4 linked regions of the Tamandua tetradactyla genome follow. The protein of the gene in region 2 purifies or fractionates together with the protein of the main gene of each other region. This does not show direct contact. Links are inferred from orthologs where the notes say so. Each region holds a gene or a part of one and is shown on either strand. Other genes may lie near its edges.

Evidence for each region.
Region 1: the proteins of KEAP1 (region 2) and OTUD1 purify together in Homo sapiens (affinity purification with western blotting; 3 studies listed by BioGRID, with this or other methods). This does not show direct contact. The link is inferred for Tamandua tetradactyla from reciprocal best matches to the Homo sapiens genes KEAP1 and OTUD1.
Region 3: the proteins of KEAP1 (region 2) and RBX1 purify together in Homo sapiens (affinity purification with western blotting; 6 studies listed by BioGRID). This does not show direct contact. The link is inferred for Tamandua tetradactyla from reciprocal best matches to the Homo sapiens genes KEAP1 and RBX1.
Region 4: the proteins of KEAP1 (region 2) and SLK purify together in Homo sapiens (affinity purification with western blotting; 3 studies listed by BioGRID and IntAct, with this or other methods). This does not show direct contact. The link is inferred for Tamandua tetradactyla from reciprocal best matches to the Homo sapiens genes KEAP1 and SLK.

Annotation. Positions count from the first base shown.
Region 1 is NC_135327.1:227,112,086-227,120,105, reverse strand, and holds OTUD1 (OTU domain-containing protein 1), read left to right. Parts: upstream 1-5,008; 5' UTR 5,009-5,121; coding exon 5,122-6,411; 3' UTR 6,412-7,669; downstream 7,670-8,020. UniProt on the Homo sapiens protein: Deubiquitinating enzyme that specifically hydrolyzes 'Lys-63'-linked polyubiquitin to monoubiquitin.
Region 2 is NC_135337.1:91,324,020-91,331,719, reverse strand, and holds the start of KEAP1 (kelch-like ECH-associated protein 1), read right to left. Parts: upstream 3,001-7,700; 5' UTR 2,847-3,000; intron 2,549-2,846; exon of another isoform or gene 2,471-2,548; intron 1,962-2,470; exon of another isoform or gene 1,032-1,961; intron 890-1,031; 5' UTR 843-889; coding exon 204-842; intron 1-203. UniProt on the Homo sapiens protein: Substrate-specific adapter of a BCR (BTB-CUL3-RBX1) E3 ubiquitin ligase complex that regulates the response to oxidative stress by targeting NFE2L2/NRF2 for ubiquitination.
Region 3 is NC_135333.1:34,060,706-34,067,596, forward strand, and holds the start of RBX1 (E3 ubiquitin-protein ligase RBX1), read left to right. Parts: upstream 1-3,890; 5' UTR 3,891-3,946; coding exon 3,947-4,024; intron 4,025-5,872; coding exon 5,873-5,951; intron 5,952-6,891. UniProt on the Homo sapiens protein: E3 ubiquitin ligase component of multiple cullin-RING-based E3 ubiquitin-protein ligase (CRLs) complexes which mediate the ubiquitination and subsequent proteasomal degradation of target proteins, including proteins involved in cell cycle progression, signal transduction, transcription and transcription-coupled nucleotide excision repair.
Region 4 is NC_135339.1:66,071,331-66,078,369, reverse strand, and holds the start of SLK (STE20-like serine/threonine-protein kinase), read right to left. Parts: upstream 3,017-7,039; 5' UTR 2,428-3,016; coding exon 2,278-2,427; intron 1-2,277. UniProt on the Homo sapiens protein: Mediates apoptosis and actin stress fiber dissolution.

The sequences.
Region 1 (8,020 bases), on a different chromosome or scaffold from region 2:
TGTACAAATTACATCAGTTACACCTCCCCATGAAAATAAGCCTGACTTTCCTTCCTTTCCCTCCATTGTCCGTTGAATCCCTAAGATGAAAATTGCTGTTGTAGCAGTTCCACCCAAGATAGCCTTTCGGCCTATTCATGGAAAGGATCTGCCCAAACTCCAGAGTCAATAACCTTTTAGCCTTTCTCCATTTTTTATACTGCTTTTCCCCCTAGAATAAGCAAAAATCTGCTGATTATTAGAATATTTGATCTAGCTATCACAGATTGACTTAAACTTCCTGGCATTGTAAGATCTTTAGTTAAAGAAGATTTTCAATGATTCTCTTTTTTACCATAAGTTAAATGGCCAACTGCTTTAGGCATTGCCCAGTGGGACCCCGTTTCCCAGAAAGGATTGTCCAGAAAACAAAAACAATTGACCTATGGGAGCGTTCCCAGAAAATGGAACAATGGAATGTAATTTACAGAACTGTAGATAACTAGTATCTGGTGATTAGCCAGTTTTGGTCCAGTAGAAATAGTTTATCAGAATAGATAAGAATACCACAACAATGTATATCTGCTTCCCACTTTTTAAGTGCCCCCCGCTATGTAAAATGGAAACAATCCACCAATTAGATAATTTCTTCACTTGCTTCTAGACTTGCCCTACATAAGCTTCCCCCTTCCACTGCCATGGGAGTGCCTTGCCACAATGTGGTCTGGATACTGCCTGATTCATGAATCTTAAATTGCTCAAAATAAACTCCTATAAGCAATAATTCATCTAGCATTTTATTTTAACCACCATCTTGTTAAAGTTACACAAGATTCAGGAGAGCTGTTTTACTTTCCTAGCCTGCTTAAGGCAAATACCACGAAATGGATGTGGACAAACAAAGGGAATTTATTTGCTCGTGGTTTTGAGGCCTGGAAAATGTCTAAAGGAAGGCATCATCAAGGTGAGGCTTTCTTCCCTGAGACTGGCTGCCGGCAATTCTTGGCTTCTCTGTCACACGGTGGTGAGGAACATGGTGGAGTCTGCTGGTCTCTCCCTTCTCTTCTAGGTTTCATTGCTTTCTGCTTCTTGCTTTCACTCTCTCTGAATTTCATTCTGCTTATCAAGGACTCTAGTAATATGACTAAGATGCAACCTGATTGAAGTGTGTCACACTATAACTGAAGTAGCTTCATCCACGGTCTCACTTACAATGGGTTCACACCCACAGGAACAGATGAGATTTAAGAACATATTTTTCTGGGATACATACAGCTTCAAACCACAGTAAGAACCGTAAAGGTTAATAATTCAAAGCACCTATCACTCCTGCCTGGAAATTCCACTTGCAGCCAGTGACCTGTCTTTAGTGGTAGATGAACTGAAGAAAGAATATTGAGGGTTTGCATGTCATGATACCCGTTATTTGTTCGTTTTAAATCGTAAAGTTAACAGAACATTGAGAATGCATATTTAACAACCCGCACATCAGTTCTCAAGATGCTTGCCTTTACTGCCTAAATTCCATTTTTATTTGACAACATTCAGAAAATATTTATTGACAGCCTGATATGTGTGGCAGAATCTCTTTTTGCCAGCGAACAAAGTATATACAACCCTATATATATATATATATATATATATATATATATATGATATCTTGTATATATATCATCCTTAAGTTGAGCTGGTTCTATGTATGGTTAAGTTGGGACATACTCCAACATACTTAATATATACCCTCTATATATATTAGCGCTCAATAAATGTTTGAATATAATGTTCAATTATTTTTTATATAAATAATTACCAAAAGATTATCAAGAGCACGAATTGTGCTGTAGCTTGGAAAACACCAATCTTTCCCTATTTTATTTTCTTGGCAACTTTGCTGAAAATCAATTGTCCATAATGTATGGATTCATTTCTGGACTCTCAATTCTATTCCATTCATCTGTATGCTGGTACCACAGTCTTGATTACTGTAGCTTTGTAATAAGTTCTGAAACTGGGAAGTGTGAGAACTTTAACCTTGTTCTTCTTTTCTCAAGATTTTCATAGTAGGCTTACAAAGAAATGACTATCTAATAAATTAATAAACGGATGCATCTTTAAGTTTTTAAAAAGTTTGAATTATTTTGGGGAGAGGGGAATGGCTTGGGAATTCTATTATTTTTAAAGGAATATAACCAAGAGATGGTGATATTTAGGTGTAGGTATCTTCAAAAACATGTCAGGTAGGATATGAAAATGCATGTGGGGACTGGGTTTCTGGTGCCTGGATACATGCCAGACACTGTAGCTGAATCCCCTGGGACTGGCACCAGGCTGGGAGCACAGAGTGGGCTCCATAATACCTACTGATTAATATCTTGTGCTTTGTTTTGGTTTGCTTTAATTTTATTGGTTCTTTAGTTGTTCCTGTTTGGTTGATAGTTGCTGACGTTTCTTTTTTCCTTAAATCTATTTGAAAACTAGGCAATTTTGGTTTAGAATCCTATTTTCCTAACAATCCACCATTTTTTTTGCACAATACTGAAATAAGCTGGAGAGATGATTTTCCAGAACAGAATTACTAGTAATTGTTTTCAAATGGGGTAAAGAGGAGATTGCTCAAATAATCAAATGTGTCCTCCTCTCTCTCCCCTCCTAATCTCTTTATTGCTTACAAGATTTTGCCTTCTCTTAGCCTTTAAGGGCATAAAACAGCATCCTATGTTCAAGGTTGGCAATCAGCATTACTTTGAAAGTTTCCTCATCTGTTGCCTCCTCCAGGAAGACCTTCCAGATTTAGAGATGGGGTGGATGGTGATTCCCACATGAATGTGTCACCTTGTGCAACCCACCTTCCCCACACATACTAAAAGGAAAAACATGGCTTCACGTACATGAAAGCTTTGGATTTTCATAATTTTCTTTATATCTGTTCCAAATTTGGTGCATTAGACTTAGCTTGTCTTCTGTATACCTAGTTTCTCCCATCCTCACCCCCCCCCCCCCACCTATTTTCCTGTGTTTACTCCAATCTGTTAAAACACATTCTTGCTTTGAGGATTTACATTTTAATATTTTCCTTCTCTCCCTCCCAGCTCCTGTTACACTCACTGTGCTGCGCACACAACAGGTACTTGGTAAATATTATGTCAGGATTATCTTAGCGTTAGTAGTATTTATTGTCTTCTGTTTCAGAACACCAGGTACTGAGAGGCTACGAGTGGATGTCCGTTTGAAGCACCTAATGCCAACTGTCCAATGGGGGAGTGACCACAAGTGTACAAGATGGTTAGGCCGGTGCTTTGCCTTCTCCGAAGTTGACTCAGTGGAGGCTGGAGTGGCCTCCGCTGGACAGTCGTGCCTCCCATGGCAAACTAAAGCAGGGCTAGGATTAGGCGACCCTGTGACAGACTGAATCGTGTTCCCCACGAGGCCATGTTCAAGTCTCACCCCCCACACCCCCGTCCTGTGGGTGCGAATTCATTTGTGAGCAGGATCTTCAAAGATCCCATTTGGGTGAAGACAAATTGCAGAGAGTAGGCCTTCACCCACTATGTCTGCCGTCCTTACACGCAGAGGAAATGCAGTTAGTGATGAGAAGCCAGAAGAGAGAGAGATGGTCACGTGACAAGTCCACCAGCCAAGAAACCCCAAGGACTGCCAGCCAGCCAGCACCAGAAGCAGACTCCAGGAGAAGCGACCGCCTGCATGGGCTCCATGCTGAACTTCTAGCCTTCCAGCTGGGTGCCAATAAAGGCCTGTTATTTAAACCAGCCAGCGCGTGGCATTTGTCATTGCAAACTAAGCCCCGACCTGGATGATAGTTCTGGCTTTTCCACTAGCAGGAATCTTGGGAGTCACGTTTCCCTTTCATTCACCCCATACTTGTTAGCTCCAAACACGAGCCAGGCACTGCATGAGGGGATGACAATACAATAGCGAAATAGATTTTCCACTCATGGAATTTCTATCCCAGCGAAGGGTCGGGGGTGGCCTCCATCCTAACCTAAAGGCTCGGTTTTTCCATCTCTAAGATGTTGGGTAAACCTCCGGGCCAACAAGAGCGACTCTGACCTGCTACTTTAGCCGTTTGATCAATACTCCAGGTTTAGCCAACAGCTACCCGCTTTCGGTCAGTAGATGACTAATTTTAGGATTCTGGCCCCTTCATCGCGGAGCGCGCCTGCTCAGCTCGGTCCAAGTATTTCCACGTCCTAGGGCCCCGGGTGCGGCCGCACCTATTTTAGGGGGCCAGGGGCCTGCACTTGGTATTCCAAAGGCCGGCCAAGCTCATCCTCCCGTGCAAAGCGGCGCCTACGCTTGACCCGCCTGAGAGGAGGTTGCGGCTGGCGTTTTCTAGGGACCGGCAGGGTCGTCTCCAGGGTGTCACGTTAGCCGAGGGGCCTGAATCAAAGTGAACGCCTGGAAAAGCGCAGCAGGCGCGAGGCGCTGAGCGTGCAGAGAGCACAGCGCGCCGAGCGCGAAGCTTCCTGCCGCAGGCAGACTTCCGGAGCGCTCGGCCAGCCCAGACGCCGCGCCGCCCGTTCCCTGCGCTGGTGCCCGGGGCCGAAGGGGGGAAGGGGGCGCACCCAGGAGCCCCCACGGAGAGCCAACCTTCCCGCCCCTCCCGCGACCCGCTGCCAGGTCCCGCCTTGCGCGCCGCAGCCCCGCCCGGGACCTGCCCGGGCACTACGAGGGCGGGGCTGGGGAGGCGGGGCGCGGGCTGCGGCGGCGGGGCCCGGGCGGGGGGCAGGGCCAGAGCCCGAGGCGGCGTCCGGGACGTGCGGGGGCGGGCCCGGAGGGGGCGGGGCGCGCGGGTGAACGGGCGCGCGCCGAGCGCATCCGCCGGCGCCCCACGTGACTGGCCGCGCGGCCTGAGGTAAACAAGCGCGCCGGCCCGCCCCCGGCTCCCCTCCCCGCGGCCGACGCAGCGGCGCGCGCGGCCTCCCCGCACCTGAGAGGCCCGAGAGGGCGGGCGCGGCGCCCGGGTCCGCGGCCGAGGCTCCCCCCGCCTTGGCGCAGCGGGCACTTGGCGGCCGCGCTCTTCGGCAGTGACGCGCGGGCTTGGGTCATCTCTATTCCGGGAGCGCCGGGCTGCGGGCCGGAGGGTGTGTCCGCGCCCCGCGCTATAAGGGCGGCGGCGGCGCCATGCAGCTCTACAGCAGCGTCTGCGCGCACTTCCCGGCCGGGGCCCCGCGGCCCGCCGCCCCCGCCGCCGCCTTCAAGGTCCCGCTGCCACCGCCGGCCAGTGGCGCGCCCCAGCCGGAGCCCGAGCCCCGGGAGCAACCGCCCGCCGCGCCCCGAGAGCCCGCCGCCGCCGCCGCTGCCGCGATGCCCGCCTTCGCCGCCTGCTTCGAGGGCGCCCCCGCGCCCGCCCCGGCTCCCGGCGCCCCCCTCCGCCCGCCGCCCCAGGCGGCCGTGCGGGCCCTGGGCGCCGAAGCGCTCCTGCTGCGCGGGCCCGCGCCTCCCGGCCCGCCGCGCCGTGCCGCACCCGCCCCGGCCTGGCTGCTGGACGGGCTGCTGCGGCCCGACGGCCCAGCTCGTCCGCCGCCCGCCGCCGACCTCCGCCTGCGCGAGCACCGCCAGGCCCTGGCCGCCGCCCAGCGCCGGGGGCCCACCGGCAGCCCTGAGCCCGGCCCCGGCCCATGGGGTGAGGCGCGCCCGGTCGAGAGCGGCGCCCGCGGGCGGGAAAGGGGCGCGGACCGCGGAGTCGCCCCCGGCACGGTGGAGGCGCGCCCGGCCCCCCACCCTGAGCCCGCGGCCCGCCCGGACGCGCCCCCCGCGACCGGCGGCCCCGCTGCCCGGGGCGGCGCGGCCGAGGCGGGGGTTGTCCCCAGGGCGGACCCCAGGGACGAGAAGCTGGCCCTGTACCTGGCCGAGGTGGAGAAACAGGACAAGTACCTGCGGCAGAGGAACAAGTACCGCTTTCACATCATCCCCGACGGCAACTGCCTGTACCGCGCCGTCAGCAAGGCCGTGTCGGGGGACCAGAGCCTGCACCGCGAGCTGCGGGAGCAGACGGTGCACCACATCGCCGACCACCTCGACCACTTCGGGCCGCTGATCGAGGGCGACGTGGGCGAGTTCATCGTCGCCGCCGCCCAGGACGGGGCGTGGGCCGGGTACCCCGAACTGCTGGCCATGGGGCAGATGTTGAACGTGAACATCCATCTCACGACGGGAGGGAAGCCGGAGAGCCCCACGGTGGCCACCATGACGCACTACCTGGGCCCGGAAGATGCCCGAAGACCCAGCATTTGGCTCAGCTGGCTCAGCAACGGACACTACGATGCGGTGTTCGACCAGTCCTTTCCCAATCCCGAGTATGACAGTTGGTGCAAACAGACTCAGGTGCAAAGGAAACGCGACGAAGAACTGGCCAAGTCCATGGCCATATCCCTGTCCAAAATGTACATTGAACAGAACGCCTGCTCCTGAGACGTCTGGAAACCGACACCCTGGGAAAACTGCACCCTTAACTTGTGTTTGGAGAATCACATGAACTCTAAATCAGGGTAATAGCACTTTTCAACCTCCTAGTAGAGTTACTATAGGTGTAATGCCTTAATCATGTTTTTTGAATGTGTTTTCCCCAGAGCTGAAGGTTGCTGAGCACCTGAACGATGTTTCACGACAGCTTTGGGTGATCCTTCTGCTGTTTGTCATTTGCTGTATAAAGTTATCGCCACTTAATTTGCAAGCTCATTTCGCTCGGTGTAAATGTGTTCATTCCTGGTCATCTGTTTTCTATAAAAATGTATTTTTGCACAATGTTTTTAAAAATCGTGGACCTTCCTTCATGATGAGTTCCATTTTGGCCGACAGCTTCCAGGCATAAATCCAGAGAAGTGCTTTATAAATTTGAACTAGTTTATCATTTAGAACAGAGATTGTGATTTAATAGTTATTTTGTGGGGTTGGAATTTGAGTTTTACAATTCTTAATTATCTCACGTGGATGTATTGATGTATTCACAGATGATGGGCCCATTCCGTTTGGATTCAACAAACAAATTTGTTGTTTGGGGAGTTTTTATTTTTCTAGAAAAGGTCAGTCCTTTACTTCAAAGCTAAATTCTTAAGTGAAGGTTGTGGGAGAATTTTGTTTTTGTTTTTATTTTTTATTCTTTAAGGGGTAGTACCAGCTCTTACTTGACTGAAAGTCTAATTTTTGCTGACAGCAGAGTGGCAATCTGTGTTCTGGTTGATGTGTGGAGTGGGTTGTCTGGTGCTCTCATTTGTTTTTATTTCTGTCACTTTATTATAAAATGATTTTAACATGGCACAGAACTTTGTGGCAGTCTCCTGCTTTATGTATCTTCTTGGATTCACTAAGATTTAAAAACTAACAGCATAAATGCCTCCATCCAGCTTTGGCAGTTATTTTACAGCAGGAGAAAACTGTCTGACTATTCTAGTCCTTATAAATTCTCTTGAAAGGCAAAATAGAATTGCCTTGTATTATGTAAAAATGTCTGTAAACAGAGCTTGTATGGTTTGCTGGGTCAAACAATGTTCCCAACCTAAAATCTATCTCATTTCCACTTTAGCTACTTTTAGTCATATTTATTAAGTAATGCAGTTTGTACTTTTTTAATTTGTAACATTTTGTGAATTTTGTACAATACTGTATTTGTACACTAGGGCGATTCTCAGTTGATGGAATGAATGAATAAAATGAATAGTTTTACAACGTCTGCTTGGATAAAGTGGTTTTTAAATTAGAAAATGACTTCTTACATCTTCACTGTTTTTTTTCATATGCAAAAATGGCACAGAGGTTTCCTAAGGTCTCCCATGACCAGGATGGGATAATAATTATTATATCCTAAGTATAGTCTGTCAATGAAACATAATTTAAAGGGGAATAACTCAAGAAATCGCTCTCATTATTTCTAATTATAATTCCTGTAGATGTGCCGGCATCTATTGGTAGTGAGCAGGAAGTATTGTTTTAACCAGCACAGTGTCTAAATAAATGTCATAGTTTTGGGTTCCACACACACTCAGCACAGATTTTAGTACTCCAAAGAGTCATCCAAAGCAGC
Region 2 (7,700 bases):
CCTACCCGGTCCCCAGCTTGACCCCAGAGACCCATGAAAACCTCACTTTCCCCAGCCCTTTCCCTACTGTGTGGCCCCGAAGCTCAGAAGCCCATCTCCCCGCAGCCACCTGCCTGACTCTGCACACACGACGGGGACACAGACCCGTGAGGAACTGCCCGCCATCCCGGAGCGCCCGCACGGCCCGGCTTCTCCGTGCTCACCTCCCCGAAGTGCATGTAGATGTACTCGCGGGCGCGCTGGTGCAGCTCGGCACAGCCCATCTGCTCGGCAAAGTTGGCGATGCCGATGGCGTTGCTGGGGTCCAGCTGCTGCACCAGGAAGTCGCTGCAGGCGCGGACGACGCTGTCAATCTGGTACATGACAGCGCCGTTCATGACGTGCAGCACGCACTTCTCGCCCACGGAGATGGACGCCGTGTAGGCGAACTCGATGAGGCGCTCCATGACGCTGGGGTGGATGCCCTCGATGGACACCACCTCCATGCCCTGCTCCCGCAGCCCGTTGGTGAACATGGCCTTGAAGACGGGGCTGGACGAGGCCAGCACCACCTTGTGGGCCATGAACTGGGCGGCCGGCGTGTCCTTGTACTTGACCTGCAGCGTGACGTCGCACAGCTGCTGGCTGAGCCGCAGCTCATTCATGATGCCGAAGGCCTGCTTGGTGTGGTCCTCCAGGGTGTAGCTGAAGGTGCGGTTGCCGTGCTGGGAGGGCGTCACTTCGGCCTTGCACTCGGTGAAGGCGTACATCACCCCGCTCCCGGCCCCCTCGGGGCGCTGTGACCACGTGGGCAGGAATCGGCTGTGGGCCCCCGCCCGGCTAGGCCCGGGTTCTGGCTGCATGGAGCTCCGGGCAACGAGGGACACCGCTGCCACTGGCACTCAGGGGCCTGGAGAGGGAGAGCACTGTGTTGGGGACGGGCCTGGGGCTTCCTTCCGTAAGCTAAAGCGATCCCGGCATGGGTTCCTTTCCCAGCAAACCAGGTGATGCAGCATCCATTTGCACTTGCTAACCGCTCTCTATAATCTCACCAGCAGGAGGGCCGTCTTAAAACACAGGTCGGGTCATCGACAGCCCCTGCTCAGAATCATTCGACAGCTCCCCGTGGCGTGCAGAATAAAACCAAACTCCTCAGTGGCCTGCAAGGCCCTGCCCATAAAGCCCCTGCTCACCTCTTCCCTTTGCCCCCTCTGTCCCAGCCATCTGTGGCCTTTCCCTGCCTCGAGCACACCAAGCTCTCTCCTTCCTTCACCTGTCACACATTTATTGAGCACCTACTGGATGTCAGGCAGTGTTTTAGGCACCGAGGACACATCAGTGAACAAGAGAGACCAACAAAACAAAAACAAAACCCTGCACTCTCATGGAGCTAACATTCGGAGAGGAAGAACCATAAAACCCAAAGCTATGAAGAACATTAAAACGGCCTCATGACACAGTGATGAGGGGTGATTACTTTAAACCTGGGGTTCCAGGAAAGGCTTCTCTGAAAAGGTAAAGTAGGAATAACTGTGAAGGCAGGAAGGGGAGTGGGCTGCAGGCAGAGGGAACAGTGACTGCAAAAGCTCAGAGGCAGAATGAAACAGACCAGCAGAAGCAAGGGAGGAGGAGGTGGGGCTGCATGCAGTGTAGACAATGAGGGATGGGAGTGTTAGATATAGCCTGGAGGGAGGACTGCTGGCCAGGAAAAGGGGTGCAATCCCTAAGAGTTTCTCAGCTCAGAGTCACCTCTCCTGAGGTTTCATTTTGATCACTGCACTTGTCAGAAACTGAAAGCACCTCCTTTGCTAGTTGGCTTCAGGATTAAGTGTCCCTCTGGCCACCAGTCCCCCAGGGATCTCTGTAGCAGGAGCTCTTGGTTAAGTCACAGGCTGTGTCCCCCACCCCATCCCATGTGCCTCCCCCTGGGGTCTGGCACTGCCCAGGGGTCAGGAAACGCGGGTGGCCGGCTGGCAGGCTGCCCACTCCCCTCGCCCCGGCCCGAGGCTCTCCTCCACCCGGGCACCACCGGCTGAGGCCGAGGCCCAGGACCTGCCTCTTCGCCTCCTGCTCAACTCCCCGCAACCCCGCTCCCGTGGCCCCCAAGAAGCGACAAGTGGGCACTGCGCATGCCCCGCCTGAGCCGCCGCCAAGGCCTGGAGAAGGCAGGAAGTGACCCCGCCGCCAGCCCCAGGGAGCGGACCGAGCCCCCCGCCCCGGCGCCAGCAGCAGCAGAAGCAGCGGCGGCAGCGGCAGCAGCAGCGCCCCGAGGTCCCCGGGCCTCGGTGCGAGCGACGTGGCCTGGGCCCCCCCGCCTACGTCCCTCCTGGGCCGCCCCGTCCAACTAGGGGATGGCACCCGGGCCGCGCCCTCCCGGCCCTTCCCCGGGCCGCGGGGATCCCCGGAGGCGCCCGGCCCGCGGCGGCCGGCTCCCCGACCTCCGGGCTCGGCCGCCGGGCTCGCGGGCCCCGGCACAGGCCGCCTCACTCACCCCGCCATGGTCGCGCTCGGGCTCCGCCTCCGCCGCCGGGGCCCCGGCGCCTCCATCGCGGCGCGCGCGCAGGTCACCATGACTAAGCAGAGCCGGGCGCCCGCGTGTCAGAATAAAAGTCCCCGCGGCCCGGGCCTCGGGCAGCCCCGGGAGGGGGGCGGACAGGGCGCGCTACCCGCCTTCCGCACCCTCGGTCTTCCCCCCTCCACCCCCCGCCGCGGCCGCGGTCGCCCGGGCGCAGCCCCAGCGCCCGCCCCTTCTGCGCGCCCAGGGGCCTCCGGCGCTCGGGAACCGGAGCCCCGGGGTTCGAAGCCCGGGCGCTCTCCTGCCCGCACCGGGGACCCCCGTGGGCAGCCCTCCCCGCAGCCGCGCTCACCTCGGGCCCCGCGTCGGCGCCGGAGTTCGCAGGTGCCACGCGCTCGCGGCGCTTCCGGGACCCGATGGGGGCTCCGGCCCGGTCAACCGCCGTCAGGGACCCGCGGGCACCTCCGCCGTCGGGGGGCCTGGGCTCCCGGGCGGCCTCGGGACGCCTGGGAAGGAGGCGGGGAGAGGGTGGGGAGGGCGCGCCTGGGCCGGAGCCGCGATTCCCCGCCCTTCCCGCAGGTGCAGGGCGCCGGGCCGGCGGGGACCTGTCCTCTTTGCGCTGTCCCTTCCATCGTCCCGGTTTGGTGGCAAGGGCCTCTGGGCGCGAGGCTTCCCTCCACCACCTGCTCTTCCTGTAGGCCCGCTGGGGGCCTTGGCCACAGGATCCGCTCAGAATTAGCTACACGGTTGGGTTTTCATTGGCTTTCTTCTTTAGTTACCTCTTCTTACAGGGAGAGCGGACCGAACTACTTACACTGACTGGAAAAGAAATAGACGATCTCAACCCACCAATAACGAGTAAAGAGACCAACTCAGTCATCCACACCCTCCCCAAAAAGAAAAGCCCAGACCAGGTGGCTTCACAAGTGAATTTTACCAAACAGTCCAAGAAGTAAGCCAGCCCTGCTCAAACTCTTCCAAAAAAATTAAATAGGGGGCCAACCAAAAGCATTATTGCCAATTCTAAGGAATACCTAGGGCATTATGTAAGATTCCACAAAGGTTCCATGCACTAGAGTAACTTTCCAGAAACCTTCAACCTCCAGATGGGTCTCTGGACCAGATAAGTCCTGAAACCTAGAGGCCCAGCCTCTCCAGAATGTCAGCTAGTTCCATCTCCCTACCCCATATTACTGACAGCCCCTTCCAACATGAAAAAGTTAGAATGGGCATAGCCCAAATACCCCTAACGAGTGAGAAAGATCAAAGGTGATGGTGGCGTTTATACAAAAACAGTCGGTTTTACAAATGAGTATGACTGCTGAATCATTATATTGATTTTTTTTTCAGTCTCCAATATGTTAGAGCAGCTAGAAGTAAAAACCTAAAATGGTGGAATTGTAAACCATACACCAAACTCTGGAATCAGTTTGACAACTAATTGTTGCAAAGTGCTTTGACATTTATTGCTTTTTTTTGTATATATGTTATTTTTCACATACAAAAAAAAGTTTTAAAAAATTTGAATGGGGGAACACTTCCTAATCCATTCTATGAGGCCAACATCACCCTCATACCAAAGCCAGGTTTTAAAAAAAAGGAGAGAGAGAAAAAGTTACAGAGCAATATCCCTTGTGAATATTGATACAGAAAGGCTCAACAAAATACTAGCAAACCAGACTCCACAGCACATTAAAAGAATTATACACCAAGACCACGTGGGCTTTATCCCAAGTATGCAAGGAGGGGTTGAATTAAGAAAAATCAATTGAAGAATGCACTGCATCAATTGAGTGAAGGGAGGGAAAACAAATGATCATTTCAACTGATATAGAAAAAGCATTTGACAAAATCCAGCACCTCTTGGTAAGAACACTTAAAATACTAGGAATCAAAGGAAACTTTCTCAACACAGTAAAGGACATATATGAAAAGCTCACAGCTAAAATTATACTCATTGGTGAAAGACTGAAGGCTTTCCCTCTGAGATCTGAAATAAGACAAGGCTACACCTGTCACCACTGTTATCCAACATTGGGCTGGAAGTTCTAGCAGGGGAATTAGGCAAGGAAAAGAAATAAAAGGCACCCAAATTGGAAGGGAAGAAGAAAAACTTTACTTATTTGCAGATGACATGGTCCTCTACATAGAAAATCCTGAAAAGTCCACAATAAAGCTACTCAAATTAATAAACAGATTCAACTGGTGAATACAAGATGAACATGCAAAATTCAGCACTGTTTCTATATACTGGTAATGAACAATCAGAACAGGAAATCAACCCAAAAAATCCACATACAATAGCAACTTAAAGAAATATCTAGTGAAGGACTTAAATATGGAAAACTACAAAACATTGCTAAAAAGAAATCAAAGAAGACCTAAGTAAATGGAAGGACACTCTGTGTTCATGGGTTGAAAGACTAAATATCTTACGTCAATTCTCCCCAAAGTGATTTACAGATTCAATGCAATCCCAATTCAAATTCCAACAGCCTTCTTTGAACACATAGAAAAGCCAATCATAAAATTTATTTGGAAAAGTTAAGGATTCCCAAACAGGCAAAACCATCGTGCAAAGAAAAACAAAGTTGAAGGGATCATACTTTCTAATTTTAAAACATATTACGCACAGAATCTAGACTATAGGTTACCAGGAAATAGAATGAGGCTAAAGAATAGGGAGCAGTTGCTTAAAATGTGCAGAATATTTAACTAGGGTGGACTTAAATGTTTGGAAATGGGTAGAGTTGATGGTAGCATGTTATCGCAAATATAATTATCGGTGCAGAGTAGTGTGGGAATGCGGTGAAAAGGGGAAGTTTAGGGTCATGTCGTTCACCAGAAAGAAAGCTGAAGGTTAAAATATGGGAATACATAATACAATGAGTCTGTGGTAGACGATGATTGTGATTATCAATACAAATATTGAAAAGTTCTTTCATGAACTAGGTCAAATGAGTGACACTGTTATAAGGAGTTAATAATAGAGTGGCACAGGGGGAAAGAAAGTAGCTACTGCAAACTGTGGACTAGAATTAACAGAATATCTTAATATTCTTTCATCAGCAGCAATAAATGTATTGACTCCAATACTAGGGGCCAATAATAGGGAGGGATAAGGGATATGGGATGTTTTGGGTTTTCTTTTTTATTTTCTTTTTCTTTTTTTTTGAGTAATGAAAATGCTCTAAAATTGTGGTGATGAATGCATAACTATGTGATGATATTGCCAGTAAATAGTTGTATACTTTGAATGGATCGTATGGTGTGTCAATATAGCAATAAAACTGCACTAAAAAATATTAGAAACCTACAGTAATCAAAACAGTATGGTACTAGCACAGAGAGACATGTGTATCAGTGGGAGAGAAGTGAGAGTTCAGAAAAAAAAACACCCTCTCATCTTTGGCCAATTTATTTTTGACACGAATGCCAAATCCACTCAATGGGGAAAGAGGAGACTCTTCAACAAACGGTGCTGGAATGTGTAAAGGGATGAAGTTAATATGCAAAAATTAACTCAAAATGGATCAAAGACCTAAACATAAGAACCCAAACTACAAGACTCCTAGAAGAAAGCCTCGGGGGAAATGGGCAAAAGACTTGAATAGACATTTCACCAAAGAAGACATACAGATGCTCAATAAACATTTGAAAAGATGCTGAACATCATTAGTCACTAGGGAAATGCAAATTAAAACCATAATGAGGGTGAGCCACGGTGGCTCAGCAGGCAGAGTTCTCGCTGCCATGCCAGAGACCCGGGTTCAATTCCCGGTGCCTGCCCATGAAAAACCAAACAAAAAACATAATGAAGCACCATTTCACACCCAATAGAATGGAAACTATTGAAAAAAAAATAACAGAAACTAAAAAGTGCTGGTGAGGACACAGAGAAATAGGAACCTTTTTGCATTGTTGGTAGGAATGTAAAGTGGTGCAGCCACTGTGGAAAATAGTTTGGCGGTTCCTTAGAAAATTATGTACAGAATTACTGCATGACCTGGCAATACCACTTCTAAGTGTAAACCCAAAATAAATGAAAGAAGGGACTCAAACATAATTGCATATTGATGTTCATAGCTGCATTATCTGCAAAGTCCGAAAGATGGAAGCAACCCAAGTGTCCATCAGCCGATGAATGGATAAACTAAATGTGGCATATACACACAATGGAATATTATTCAGCCGTAAACAGGAATGCAGTTCTGATACTTGGGACAACATGTGTGAACCCTGAAGACATCATGTGGAGTGAAACAAGCCAGAAGACAAAAGGACAAAGATTGTATGATCTCACTGATATGAAATAGCTAGAATAAGCAAATGTGTAGAGTCAGAGACTGGAAAAAGAGTACCAGGAACCAGGTTGGAGGTGGGGAATAGAAAGTTAGAGTTTCATTGGTACAAAGTCTCTGCTTGGGGCAGTGGAGAAGTTCTGGTAAGGGGTGGTGGTGATGGCAGCACTTTGTCAAAGTAACTGACACCACTGAGTTAAATATTTGCATGTGGTTGAAAGGGGACAATTGGGGTTGCATATTATGTTAGCAGAATAAACAATTTTAACAAAGAACCATGGGACTGAACACCACAACCAGTGACCCCTATGGTAAACTAGAGACTCTAGTTAATAGTATAATTATAATGGTATTCTCTCACCATACTAAGGAGAAGTGTTGATAACAGGAAAAGCTGTTAAAAAAAAAAAAAGGATAAGATCAAAAACAAAAACAAGAAAAAAAAATAGGGAAAGCTGTATGTGTGAGGTGGGGGTTATATAGGAACGCTGTGCTTTCTGCATGATTTTTCTGTAAATCTACAACTTCTCGAAGTAAATAAACAAATTTTTAAAAAATGCATGGACCTCGTCTGTCTCGGGTTGGAATCCCAGCTCTGCAACTGGCTAACACGTGTGAAACGACCCCATGCTTAATAACCTCCCTGCTAGATTATCCTGGCACCCAATAGATATAAACGATTGTTGTGTTTTCCAGCACGAGGGATACTGATTTGCCATTTATGCCAGTTAGGCTGTGAAGTTAATTTTTAAATAAATATTTCTAAGTTTCTTTTTAAGGCAGTCCATCTGAGTGGAAACATTTCATAGAAGTGAGGGAAGTTTGGGAAAGGCTGGGCTGAAGAGAGAGGCAGGTCTAAATAAGGATTCCGCGAGCCTCCGGGGGGTGAATTTGGAGGATAACCC
Region 3 (6,891 bases), on a different chromosome or scaffold from region 2:
AAAGTGGGCAAAGAACTTGAATGGCCATTTCTCCATAGAAAATATACAAGTGACCAATAAGTCAATGAAAAGATCCTCAACATCATCAGCTATTAGAGAAACGAGAAATCAGAACCACAGTGAGATACCTCCTCACATCCCCTAGGATGGTTATTATTTCTTTTTTATTATTTTTGTTTTTGTTTTCTTTTTTCTATTGTTTATTTTTAGGATGGCTATTATTTTTAAAATGCAAAGTAACAAGTGCTGGCAAGGATGTAAAGAAACTGGAATACTTGCACATTGCTGGTGAGAATGTGAAAAGTTTCTGCCGCTTTGGAAAAGTGTGGCAGTTTCTCAAAAGTTTAAACATAAAACTACCATATGTCCTGGCAATCCCACTTCTGTGTGTATACCCAAAGGAACTAAAAGTAGGGAGTCAAGCAAATAATTTTATACCAACGTCCATAGCAGCATTATTCACAACACCCAAAAGATGGAAACAACCCGTGTCATCAACAGATCAATGACCAAAATGCAGTATATCCATACAATGGAATATTATTCAGAAAAAAAATATGAAGCTCCAATATACACTACAATACCGATGAACCTTGAAAATATCATTCCAAGTGAAAAATGCCAGGCACAAAAGGACAAATATTGCAGGATTCGACTTCTATAAAGTACCTAGAATAAACAAACTCAGAGACAGAAAGTAGATTAGAGGTTTCCAGGAGTCAAGGGGAGGGGCTGAGGGGAAGCTCTTAATCGGTATAGAGTTTCTGTTTGGAGTGGTACAAATCTTGGTAATGGACAGTGATAGAGGTAGCAAACTGTGAATGTAATTAATGCCACTGAATGATATACCTGAAAATAATTAAAATGCAAAATGTTACTTTATGAATGTCACCACAATTAAAAAAAAAAAAAAGCCATAGGAAGGAGTCATCCAAGGGTGTAAATGTAGGTGGAGAAGTAGACAAAAGACCTGGGGCCATTTGCCAACAAAGGAGACTGAGATGATGTGACCTGCAGGGTAAGAGGAAAAGAAGGGTGCGTGGAGTCTTAGATATTTTAGAAGGGGTGTGTGGGGTCTTACAAGTCTTAGAACACAGCCTTCTATTTCTGTAATAAGCCTAGCCTACTTCTGCCTTAAGGTCTTTGCACTTACTTGCTCCTCCCACAGACCCTAGCAGGTGCCTCATTACTGAGGCCTCAGCTGAAATGTCACCTCCTCAGAGAGGCCTTTCCTGATCACCCGATTTAATGTTGCCTCCCCCACCCTCGTCTCATTACCTTGATTCATTCCCTTCATAACACTTATCACTATCTGAGATTTTCTGATACATTTAGCTGTGGACTTACATGTGATTTCCCTTCTAGGAGGGGCCTTGACTGACTCAGTCACTGTCTCTCCTGTTTATAATGGGGCCTGGTATGTAATAAGTATTCAATACATTTGTTAAATGATGGATAAATATGCCTCAATACATTAATTTACATAGGTTGCTATTATTTCCATAGGATCCTATAGGTACACAGTAAATTAGACAGCAGAAAAGTTTAACATGGTATCATTAACAAAATTGGGCTAAGAAGAACTTTGTAGGGTTCCTAAGATACTTTACAATCTCACCCAATTTTTCACTTTTCAAGTCTGGTAAAAGACGTGATAGTGTTTTCACAGGCTTGTGGTTCTTGTTAATGACCAAGGCAAGGAAACAAATCACAGTTCTTCCAATTTAGCAATGGAGTCAAACAACACACACTATTGCTCTCCAATTTCCTCTTAATGCAATTTTATTGAGATATATTCATACACCATACACTCCTTCCAGAGCATACAATCAATGAATCAATGGCTCACAGTATCATTTTAGAACATTTTCATTGCTCCAAAAAAAAAAAGAAAAGAAAACACAAAACGTCTTATACCCTTTATCCCCCATCATTGACCCATAGCATCGGTGTGGTACATTTGTTACTATTCATGAACGAATATTAAGTGCTGTTAACTATAGTCTATAATTTACAATACTGCATTTTCCCCATATACCCCTCTATTATTTTGTTCTTCTGTTGTGAAATATAACATATATACAAAAAAGCAATAAATTTCAAAGCATAACACAACAATTAGTTATAGAACAGATTTCAGGGTTTGGTATGGGTTACAGTTCCACTGCAGGTTTTTCCTTCTAACTACTCCAAGACACTGGAGACTGAAAGAAATATCAATATAATGATTCAGCGGTCATACTCGTTTCTTAAATCCTAACTTCTCTACTATAACTCCACCTTCTCCTTTGATCTTTCTCCAAATTTTTAGGGGTATCTAGGCTATTACCATTTTAACTTTTTCATGTTGGAAAGGGCTATTGATAATATTGGATAGGTGTATGGAACTAGTTAATGTTCTGAAGACACTGGCCCCTCTGGGTTTCAGGACTTATCTGGCCTAGGAACCATCTAGAGGTTGTAGGTTTCTGGAAAGTAATCACAGTGCATGGAATCTTTGTAGACTCTCAGATACAGCCCTAGGTATTCTTTAGGATTGGCAGGAATGTTTTTGATTGGGGTTTGACAAACCATGGTAAATAGCAGTATCTAGCTGAAGCTTACCTAAGAGTAGCCTCCAGAATAGCCTCTGGACTGTATTCCATCTCTCTCAGCCACTGATACCTCATTTCGTTACACTTCTTTCCCCCATTTTGGCCAGGGTGGCATTGTCAATCTCAGGGTGCCAGGGCCAGGCTCATCCCTGGGAGTCATCTTACACATTGCCAAGCAGACTTTTGCCCCTGGATGTCATGTCCCATATAGTGGGAAGGTTATCTCCAATTTCCTTTTGAGAGAAAACATTTCAAATAAACTATTACAAGATTTAAGAGTGATTAGCTGATTCATATCTTTGCAAGATCAGATGTAAAAGAGGGCCCAACCTAGAACCAGAATGTGACAGGTGCAGGTGCTTTGGATGGGAAGGAATGACCAGTAAGGATAAATGGCAGAATGCTCGACAGAAATTTTAAGTACGGCGATCCCAGATAGGTCAGCGTAACTATAGCGCAGGGAGCTCAACCGTGACAAGAAACGAGGGAGAAGGGCCCTATGTTTAGATGAAATGGTGAATGTGTACTCAAGTGAGTACACATTGAGTGTGTACTCAAGTGGGGAATGTGTACTCAAGTGAGTTCACTGAAATCGTGGACCTTAAGCAGAGGCCATCGAGAACCATCTAGCATTACAAAGCAGGCTGGAGATGATTATCACCCAGGCTTCTGACCCTCCTCCACCTATTTCTGGCGGGGGGGGGGGGGGCAGCGGAGGGGGGTGAAGCGCGGAAGGAAAATGCCAGCTCACTCTGGCCTTGAGGAGAAGGCTCAGGCATTTCTTCCCTCCTCTTCGAATCCCTGAGCCTTTTCCGAATTGAAATCAGGAAACCAAACGGTGCTTGGGCCGGGGTTTGCCCATCCTCAGGCCTCCCAAGGTGGCTGCACCTCCGGCCTAGCTCGGACGCGGGTCAGGATCTACCAAAGGGCAGTGTGGGGAGCCGAAGACGGCGAGCGGTCCACCGGCACAGGGAGCGGAGGCTGGGCAGAGCCTGGGCCGCACGTCGCGGCCAAGGGAGAGGAAGAAGCCGCCGCCCCAGCAGAGGGAGCGTGGAAGCCCGCAGAAGGCGACTAGCGCGGGTCTCCTCCAAGGTTTCCTCCGGCTCGCTCACAGCGCCTCGGCCCCGCCCGGCCCCGCCCCAGCCGCCCAGGCCACCGCCTCCTCCCTAGCCGACGCAAGGGGGAACCTGCTCCAGCGCCTTTAAGAGGCGTGTTCACGTGCTCCGCCCCATCTGCCCCTCGCGCGCCAGTCAGTGGTGGGGTGCGGGAGGAGGTGCTTGGGGGAGGGGAGGATGGGGGCGGGCGGCGCTGCGCAGGCGCAGTGGCCAGGCGACGGAGCGTGAGTTTCCAAAATGGCGGCAGCGATGGACGTGGATACCCCGAGCGGCACTAACAGCGGCGCGGGCAAGAAACGCTTTGAAGTGAAAAAGGTTGGGTCTCGCCAGCTGCTTCCTCAAGGAAGCTAGACAGGCGCGGACTTGGCTGGCAGGCCCGAGGGTGACCGAGGCGCGAAGAAAAGGGCTTCATTTCAGGGCGTTCCTGGGACCGGGTACCCCCGAAAGGAAGCCGGAGGGTGGGTCTTAGGGTTGATCGGCGTGTCTGCGACCCACTGTCAGTGAAACTATTGGTTTCGCTCTTAGGCTGAGGGTCCAATCACTGAGGTGTTTATTGAACTACTCCGGCTTGCGACTTGGTCGCGGGAGCCAAGCGCCTGAGCTGTCACTGGAGTGGTTGAGGGGTGGGGGAAGTAGAGAGTGGGGTGGGTGGATGGGGGAGTCGGAGCTACTGCAGTGAGTGGAGGATGGGACAGTGCGGCGAAAGCCGAGAACCTGAGGTCCTACCGCAATGGAGGTTTCTGTAGAGCTGGGCTTACGATCTCCTTACCCCGCCCCTTTTTGAAGCTTTGCGGTCCCACTGACTGAGGGATCCCGACGTTGTCCTCGCCTAAGCAAGGCCTCTCTGCCCCATCTCTGGCCTTCACCCCCACCAAGTTAGAGTCTCATTTCTTATGCTTGGCTCTTTTGATTTGTTACGCATCCGTCTCAGTCTTGTGGTTCTCCGTCATGTCCAGAAGCCACCCCCTATTCCCCCCAAAAGCATATGAAGCCCAAACCTCGTAGCGTTTAGGAAGGGTTGAGTACGAGTTGCGAATGGCCTGTTAGAAGTGGGAAAGCAAAAATGTTGAACGTGTCTTTGCATGAAATCCCTTTTAGTGGTTTGCCAACAGCTTGGGAGAAAAGTGTGGATTTCCACCTAAGATGAAATAAATCTATTCAAAATGAGGATTTTCAAATAAGGAAGCTGTTATTCCTGGAATATCTGGCTAAACACTAAAAATATTCTCCTAGTGCTTTTTTGCGTCTCGTTATGGGCACTTCATGCCCAGTTACAGCCAGCAGCCATATTGAAGATAGTAGTAGACTTTTTTCCTCCAAATTGAAGCTGTGGGGTAAAAAGTGCTGAAGAAGTTGCTAGACACTGAGATTTGGCTTGCAGGAGATGAGGGGGTGGGAGTGGTGCCAAATTAGTGGATGAAAAAGGCCTTGGGAGTATTTATAGTTGCAGAAGCAGAGGTTGAAATACTTAGATACTGGGTTTAGATAAATTCTTAGTGGAATTATCTCAGTCATATGTAGAAGTGGGCATATAAAACTTGAGAACATTTGTTTGAGAGTAGGAACTAAAAGTTCAGTGAATTCTAGAGTTTGTTATGGAGCGATGCTGTAAGAAATAAGTGGTAACATTGTTCTGTGTACTAATACTGTTGGTATTTACCCACTTCAATCCAAGATTACCCATTTTATGCTCCGGTCATCATCTTAGTTCATTCTCTTCCTAGCTTTCACCTCCCCACTCATGCTTCCAAAGCTGCCTTTAAGAGCAGAATTTATCTATGCAGACTGATCTCTTGTGCATCTGCCTGGGGAACCTGCACAGTGATGCAAGTTTGTGCTTATTAAGACTAAAACAAGCCCTTAAAAATTATTCCTGATTGCTGACATTGAAGTGGCTGACTAAATATTTTTAGGTCTGGGAAAAAATTAAATTAAAAGATGATACATTAATTTCATGTGCTTAACATTTTGGAGAATGGACGAGATTGTATGTAGCCTATTGTTGTCCTCTGGTGTAATAAGAGTAGTGTAATATCCAGAAACTCTTGTTTGGTGGTCCATGTGGCCAAAGAAGATGTTAACTCCAGCTGCAGTACGAAATTCTAATGTGTGTGTAATATGTTACAAGGGAAGTGCATTGTTCCCCCTTTTCTCTCTTTGCAGTGGAATGCGGTAGCCCTCTGGGCCTGGGACATTGTGGTTGATAACTGTGCCATCTGCAGGAACCACATTATGGATCTTTGTAAGTAATTGGAGGAGCATGGGAGCAAGTTGAGAAGGTTGCAAGGATTGTTGCTATCCTGATGTGATCAGTTTTCTTCTTCAGGAAAGATATAAAACATAGTGCTTGGGGTCTTCTGCACCTGGTCTCTTGGTGTGTTTGAAACAGAATAGTTTTTGGATTGTCTTGAAGACATACCCAGTTCTTAAAATAAATCAACTTGCTCTAAAGAGAGCAAGGCCACGTTTAGAATGAATTGTGGACACAGGGGCACTGTAGATTCTTTCTCTTTATATTTCCTATCTCCTACCCAGACTCAAAGGCAGAAGTAGTAAAAGGAAGAAAATAAACTTTGAACTAAAATATTCTGTCCAAGCTAGTTTTTGCTGGGTGAGATGTGTAAAGAAAAGAAGCTGAAGAAGTAAGGATTTGCAACTTTAGCCCCATACCTAGTAAAAAAGACATCACTACCAACATCTAAATAGGCAATTAAATTCACTAAAGAAATTTGATTTAAATCTCTATATATTTATTACATAAGGTGATCAAAACATAGTGAATCTGATTGTAGCTGTTAACTGACTAATTTAGTATCCTTGTAGTAATGGGAGGGAGAAGATTGATTACACTGAAACAATTGAGGTTACTTTTTCATCCACATACTAAATTGGTTTGCTAATGAAATCAGAAATCAGGCAAAGAAACTTCAAGGTTCTAGAATTGAAATTGTGTTTTGTTTTGTTTTGGCATAGGCAGGGTCGGGGAATTGAAACCAGGTCTCCCACATGGCAGGCAAGAAAAGGGTACTTACTTTTGAGATGGTTCACCTGCCTCTTCAGCCTCACCTTGAGCCACTCTGCTACTCACTGTAATAGTTCTCTTGTCTTTCCATTCCTGAAGTCTCCATGCTCTTTATTAGTGTCCTTGCATAGCATCTTCCTTCTGTCTGGAATATTCTCTC
Region 4 (7,039 bases), on a different chromosome or scaffold from region 2:
AGGGAATTCTATGATTTTTACACTAAGAAAACTGAGGTCCAGATAAGTGTTTTGTCCAAGCCCACAAACCTGGTTTGTGACAGTCAAGACTAAAACTCCATGAGTGATCTTCCCACTATAATAAAAGCCCTCATTGCCATATAGTTGGCTACCCAGGAAGCTCTTGCTGAAACACATCAGTCTACCCTCCACGCAAACACTAAACCTTGTCAACTTCTATAGCATATCATAGCTTAAACAGCATCCGCATGTAGGTAACATACTCTTTCATTTCAACAAACACGTATATTTTGTATCATACTAGCAACCTGTTTTCTGCATACATTGTGCTCCTTGAACATATAATATTTCCATGTACATTTCCTCAGGAGGATATTTCTTTGTGTAACCACCCTATGAACAGTTAATCAAGTTCGAGAAATTTAACACTGATATAAAATCTATATTCCAAGTTTTCAGATGTTCCAATAATGTCCTTCGAATCTTTTCTCCTGCATAATTAGATCCTGACCAGGATCACATACTGCATTTAATTGTCACTGTCTCTTTAGTTGCCCTTTTACATTTATATACATACACACACACACACACACTGTATGTCAGGCAATAGATGTACCTAAATGTATATTAGGGTTTTGGCCTCTGGTCATCTTACACAAACTTAACACATGTGACAAGCTCTATACTAGCCGTGTGAACTATATGTTTTGAAAGTATACAGGAGTGAATATTTCAGCCTGGGTAAATTAGACACAACAGTTAAGCAGAGCTTGAGAACTGTGGGTGTGAGTGAAATGCTTCACTTGAGACAAAGCAAAGACAGAAATATGACAGTACTTACAAAGCAGGGATGTTAAAATAAAAGATGACACTAAATAGGGGTCAGAAGACCTGAGTTCAAATGTTAAGCTCTGACTCTTGTGACTTTGAAATAAACAACTCTGAGTCTCAGTGTAATCTGTGAAATGTGGATAACACTGTTCACCTGCCTACCTCACAGGACTTTTGTCAGGGCCAAATTATATGAAAATACTTAAAAATTGCAGTCCTAAAAGGGCAACTAAAGAGACAATGACAATTAAATGCAGTATGTGATCCTGGTCAGGATCTAATAATGCAAAAGAAATGACTTGAAGAACATTATTGGAATATAGATTTTAGGTCAATGTTAAATTTCTCAAACTTGATTAACTGTTCATAGGGTGGTTACACAAAGGAATATCCCTCCTTCTTAGGAAATGTACATGGAAATATCATATGTTCAAGGAGCACAATGCATATAACATACATTGTGCAGAAAATAGACTGATATTATGATACAAACATGGCAAAATGTTAAAATTTGTGGATGTGGGTATGGGGGCGCATGGTGGAGTTCTCTGTATGGGGTTTGCAAGTTTGAAATTATTTCAAAATAAAAAGTCTAAAGGAAAAAAAACTGCAAAATCCTGTATAAACATATTTTTCACTCCTAGGGACTCCTATGAGTCCTTCTTAAACTGTGTTTCATAAAAACCTCACCGTTTGAGGTGAAAACACACCTATAACATCATTTTTATGCTCCACAGAAGAAAATAGTTAATGTAAATAACTTCAGGTTGAAAACCCAACCCTTTTTATTGAAATACATACATATAAATACGGGCGTATATATGTGTTTTAACAATGTTTACTATATATTTAGAAACTATTACCAGATGTAGGTTTTCTTCTGAAAATTTTCTATCAGAATTTTCATTCCATTTTATAATACATTGTCAAGCAATCAACTCAAGAATAATGCGCAAGTAACAATCATTTTGTTCTCATCCCAAAAGAAAGACCAGCTATATTCGCTACAGATGCAATCGAATAGATGCCGTGTACTCTAAAAAAAGGAACTGTTTTAGTGTAAGAATGCATACGAATGTAACCAGTTAGTAGATAAATATTATAAAACGCGGGAAAGTAGAATGAGTTTTTTTACTTTAAAATACTTAAGAGGTACTACTTTTAAATTAAAGAATACCCTCATCTCCTTTAAAATCTGGATAGAGTAGACTGTATAACCTTGACTATTTAACCACTATTTAAAGGCCCCATTTTGTTCAACATAAAACCCTACTGTCTTAGCCATTCCTTGGATAATAATCTAAATAAAGTTTCAGTGTGTGCTTACAAAGTTAAAAAAAAAAAAAAAAAGACAGGAAAGGGACAAGGGGAGCGAGAAGCGCTCGTGCCACTCCCGTAGTGGCTGTTTTATCTAAGAAGTGCAACTTCCCGTTTTCTCCTTCTTACCTTGTACACTTTCCCGAAGGCTCCGTCGCCCAACTCCCCTATAATTTCCCAAAACTCCTCGGGGTTCAGGTCCCTCTTCACATGTTCGTACTGCTTCTTCTTCCTCTCGCTCCCCAACTTGAAGATCTTACGGAAATTGAAGAAGGACATTTTTCCTTCCAACAGAGTTCCTTGCACTTAAGGACTAAAAACAACAATGAAAGGCAAAGTTTCTCCTCCCTCCTCTCTCGCGCGAGTCTAGCGGCAGCGGCCGCGGCGACGGCAACGAACACAAAATCTCCCGGCTCCCGCCGCTCGGCTCCGGGGGAAGGCGGGGCAGCGACGCGAGCTCCGGCGCAGGGGAAGGGGGAGGGGGTAGGAGGAGAGGACGGTCCCTCCCGCAGCCGGGTCCGCGGGGGCAGCCCGACTGGGCTCCTCACCCCCGAACTGTCCACTGGGGCGGCACCTGCCCCGACGCTCGTCTCTACCCGGCCCAGCCCGACCGGGACTGGGGTCCAAGCCGTTGGGACGTCTGCGGCCGCCGCGACTTAGGCCCGTGTCACGGCGAGTCTCCAGGGGCGGCGGCCACTCTTGGCGACTGTAAAGGCCCGCGGCCTCTGAGATGGGCAGCCGAGAAGGCGAGCTCTCCCGCTCAGGCCGCGAGCTGGAGGTCGCCGCGGCCGCCTGCTCCCGCGTCACCTCTTCTCTGGGGCGCAGCCGCCCAGCTCCCTACCCAGCCTACACAGCCTCGGCCTGGAGCGCGCGCCGCCGATTCCGCCGACGTGCGCCGGCCCGCGCGCCCGCATGCCCGCGTGCGGGCGGCCCCTCTGGCCCCGCGCACGCGCGTTCGGCACTGCGCACTAGCTGCTCTGAGCCGCTGGACTGCGCCGGCCGCAGGCGAGGTGTGGACCGTCCTTGCGCGGGGTCACCATTTGCCCTCCAAACCCCAGATCCTGTCAGCCCCCCCGCTTTGGTGGCGTTACCCCTGTGGCCAGGACCCTGTTGGTTGTGCCAGCAGTCGTTACCTGAATTCTGGATCTGGGAAAATTTGAGATTAAATCTGTTTTTGTGTATATGTTGTTTTCCACAAAAAAAGTCGATTGTGGTGATATATATGTATATTTATTCTTTCTAGCCTCCTATATTCTGGAGCAGCTAGAAGGAAAAAACTGAGAGGATGGTATGATAGCCCATGACAAACTCTGGGATCTACCCTGTAACTACTTGTTGAAGAGGGCTCTGAAAATTACTGCCTTTTTCTTTCTTTGCTTTGTATATATGTTATATCATACACTGAAAAACGCTAAAAAAAAAAAAAAAAAAAAGTTAAAGCTGAGTAGTCAGGGTTGCTGAGAGTGGACTATTTCTCAAGAGGATCCGAGCTGCAGTGAGAGGAGTACTGTGATGGTTGGGAGCTTCGGCCTTGGAGCCAGAGCTTCTCAGCTCTGTGACCTCAGGCGGGAACCTCTCCGAGCCTTAATTTCCATACCCTACGGAGGGCTTATGGCGAGGAGTAAAGGTCTGTAAGTCATTTGTAGGGCGGCTGCACCGTAAACCCTCAGTCTTAGTCCTTGCTGTTGTTAGAACTGTGCAGGTAAGACTGATATAGATAGAGAAAAATTGTTCAAACCACTTCATGAGTAATGACCGGGACATTCCCTTGTGGGTAACGTACCTCCTCCTGGTCACTTCCACAGCCGTATTCCTGGTGTCGCCCTTCAAGGCTACCTGAACTACTTAGTAAGGCGGTAGCTTCCTAGGCCTGCCTCCGGCCCCTGAGGACCAAGCTAGTGGTCAAGGGACTGCTGTGGGGCGATGTGAGCAGGAGTTGGCTGGAATCTGTCAGATGATGATCTTCCTCGCCCGCCTCCACCAGCTGGGAGCTTTTAAGGCAGTAGCTTGTTGTTCATAGTGGTTTCCAACCTGACAACATTCCTGGCATGTAGAAGGAAGGCAGAGCTGTTGAATTAATTAATTAATTAATGGAGGTATCTGGGGCAGAGGGAATGTTGCTATTAGTATAATGCCTACCTACAGTTCCCAACCACCATGTCCCCCTCCAGCCCCAAAACGGTATATACTGAAGCCCTTCTTTCAGTAGGAGGGTTATGATGACTTGGTTTCTCAAGCTCTCATTTTTTAATAGCTTTATTGAGGTGTAACTGATACACAATAAACTGTACATATTTAAAGTATGCAATTTATACGTTTTGACAAATGTATTACCCATGAAAACAATACCATAGTCTCTAGTTTTAATTACTAACATTTATGGACGTGTGACTAAATGTAAATAGGTGCTCATTGTGGAAAATACGGAAATACACAAAGAACGAAATTAAAAAGAAAACCCTGGAATTCCATCATCCGTAGATAACCATTGGTAAGATTTTATTATATTACAAACAGATTTTGGGGGAGGTGGGTGGACTGTACATTAATTTTTTTACCTGCATGAGATTAAAGGTTTGTATCCTGAACTTTTAGTGTTCACTTCCATCATGAGATTTTTAGATTATTTATAATTGTTCTGTTTTAAATGAAACAGTGATAAACATCTTGGAATACAAACCTTTTTTTCCCCACATACTTAATTATTTCCTGTGGATAAAGTATCAGTAGATTAGGGTCAATTTCCTTTTTTTTTCTCTGTCTTTTCAAAACAAAACTCTTCACTGTGTTTTTCAGATTATCATTATTGTAAATAATTCAAATAATTCAGGAATGATAAACTAGAAAGTTGTCTGGTAATTCTCCCTTCCTGCCAGCTCCACGCCCCCCCACCAACTCCACCTCCACCCTAACCATTGTTAAAAGTTAAGCCTATGGGTGTGAGGGAACTTTTTGAGGTAATGAGAAGTTCCAAAACTGGATTGTAGTGATGGTTGCACAACTCTATAAATTTACTAAATCCATTTAATTATATACTTAGAACAAGTGAATTTTATGGTAACTAACCTCAGTAAATAAATATAACTAGATTTTTTTCTACACATACACTTGCTTTAAAATATGAAAATGGTACCTACTTTTCTATAAAACTTTTTTTCCACTTTCAATGAATAATGGACTTCTTTCTTTCCATGCCAGTACAAATAGACAAACAGGTCTACTTAACTCTTTTTAATAGCTGGATAGTGTTCCAGTGTAGCTTTACCATAATTTATTTAAGCATTTCTCTGTTGATAGGCATTTAGATTATTTCCAGTTTCTTGCCATCATAAACAACACTGCAATGAGCAGGCATACACAGGCATCTTTGTGTATTTGTCTGATTGTATTTCCTTATGACAAATTTCAAGAAATGGAATTGCTGCGTCAAAGAGTATATTCAATTTTTTTTAACCTGTATTGCCAAATCAGCCCCCAGGAAGTTTGCACCAATATAAACTCTTTCCAACAAGGTATGAGAATGCCAGTTTCACCACATCCTCAATAACACCATCTTTTTAATCTTTTCCAAGCTGATGGCCCAAGATGGGCATTTTAATTTAAAATTCTGATTAGTGATATAACACCTTTTCATATGTATATTGGCCACTTTTATTTCTTTTTTTAAAATGAATCATCTCATCATATCAATGTTCTATAAATGAGGTAATAAAAGTCTAACATACTGTTGTGAAGTAACCATGGACCTGATAAAAACATTTTTTTTTTCACCCTGAAGTCACAGAAATCTTTTCATAATGCTGGATGAGTTGACATTTGGACAGATTCAGGTTTTCTCAGTAATTATCATGAAATCTAGATATCTGTGTTATTTGTAAATCATAGTTTGGCTTCTCTGAATTTTTAGACTTTTAAGGTAAAGTTTAACCAGTGACCATGTAAATATTTAACACACAATTTTTTGGCTCTACTTACCTTAAAAATAATTTAAGGCCTCACTAAACAGCTTGTGAGGGGGAGTACTAGCTTTACAGTTTACCTGGAGTGTAACCGTCCTTGATAATAATAAGAATATCATTAAAAATTAAAATTTTATTATGTCTTGAGTGCTTACTCCATGTCAGGCACTGTACAAAGTGGTTTATAGGCATCATCTCATTTAAACGTCCTATCAACCCTATGCAAAGTACTATTATAATCCCCATGGTTAAAGAGAGGAAAATAAGGCCAAGAGTTAAATAACTTGGCCATGGCCCCATAGATAATAACAGCTAATTGGGACTTGAATCTTGGTAAACCTAATTCCTTAGGATTTAATAACTCTACTAATTCCTTAACCTCACAGACTTCTATAAATGGATAGCTCACAGGATTGTTGCCACTGCTGTATCTCTCCTCTTTGCAACTTAAAAATGTACTCTACACACTGTCATCACTTTATTAGCTCACAACCATGTATGTGTATGTGGGTATAAATATGCGTGTATTAGCATTTATGTATGTGTGTGATTGTGTGTGTATCAGTGTGCATGTGGGGAATGGGAGCGTGTATATGTGTGTATGAAGCTGTCTGTATGTTTCTCTCTCTAGACTGAGAGCACTTTGAGGGCAAGCAGGGATTCTTTTTTCAGTTTTCAAAGCACTCTTCAACAAGTAATTACAGGACAGATCCCAGACTCTGTCATGGGCTACCATTTGATCCTCTCAGATTTTCCCTTCTAGCTGCTCCAGAATATAGGAGGCTAGAAGGCATAAATATTTTTTCACCATCGCCTTTTTCATTTTTATATTCCCTACATCTAGCCCAATGCTTTGCTACTCTTTAATTTTTTGTTGAATGAATAAATAAAAATGAAAGAACTTTATACCCAAGGAAAGTACATTACATGTC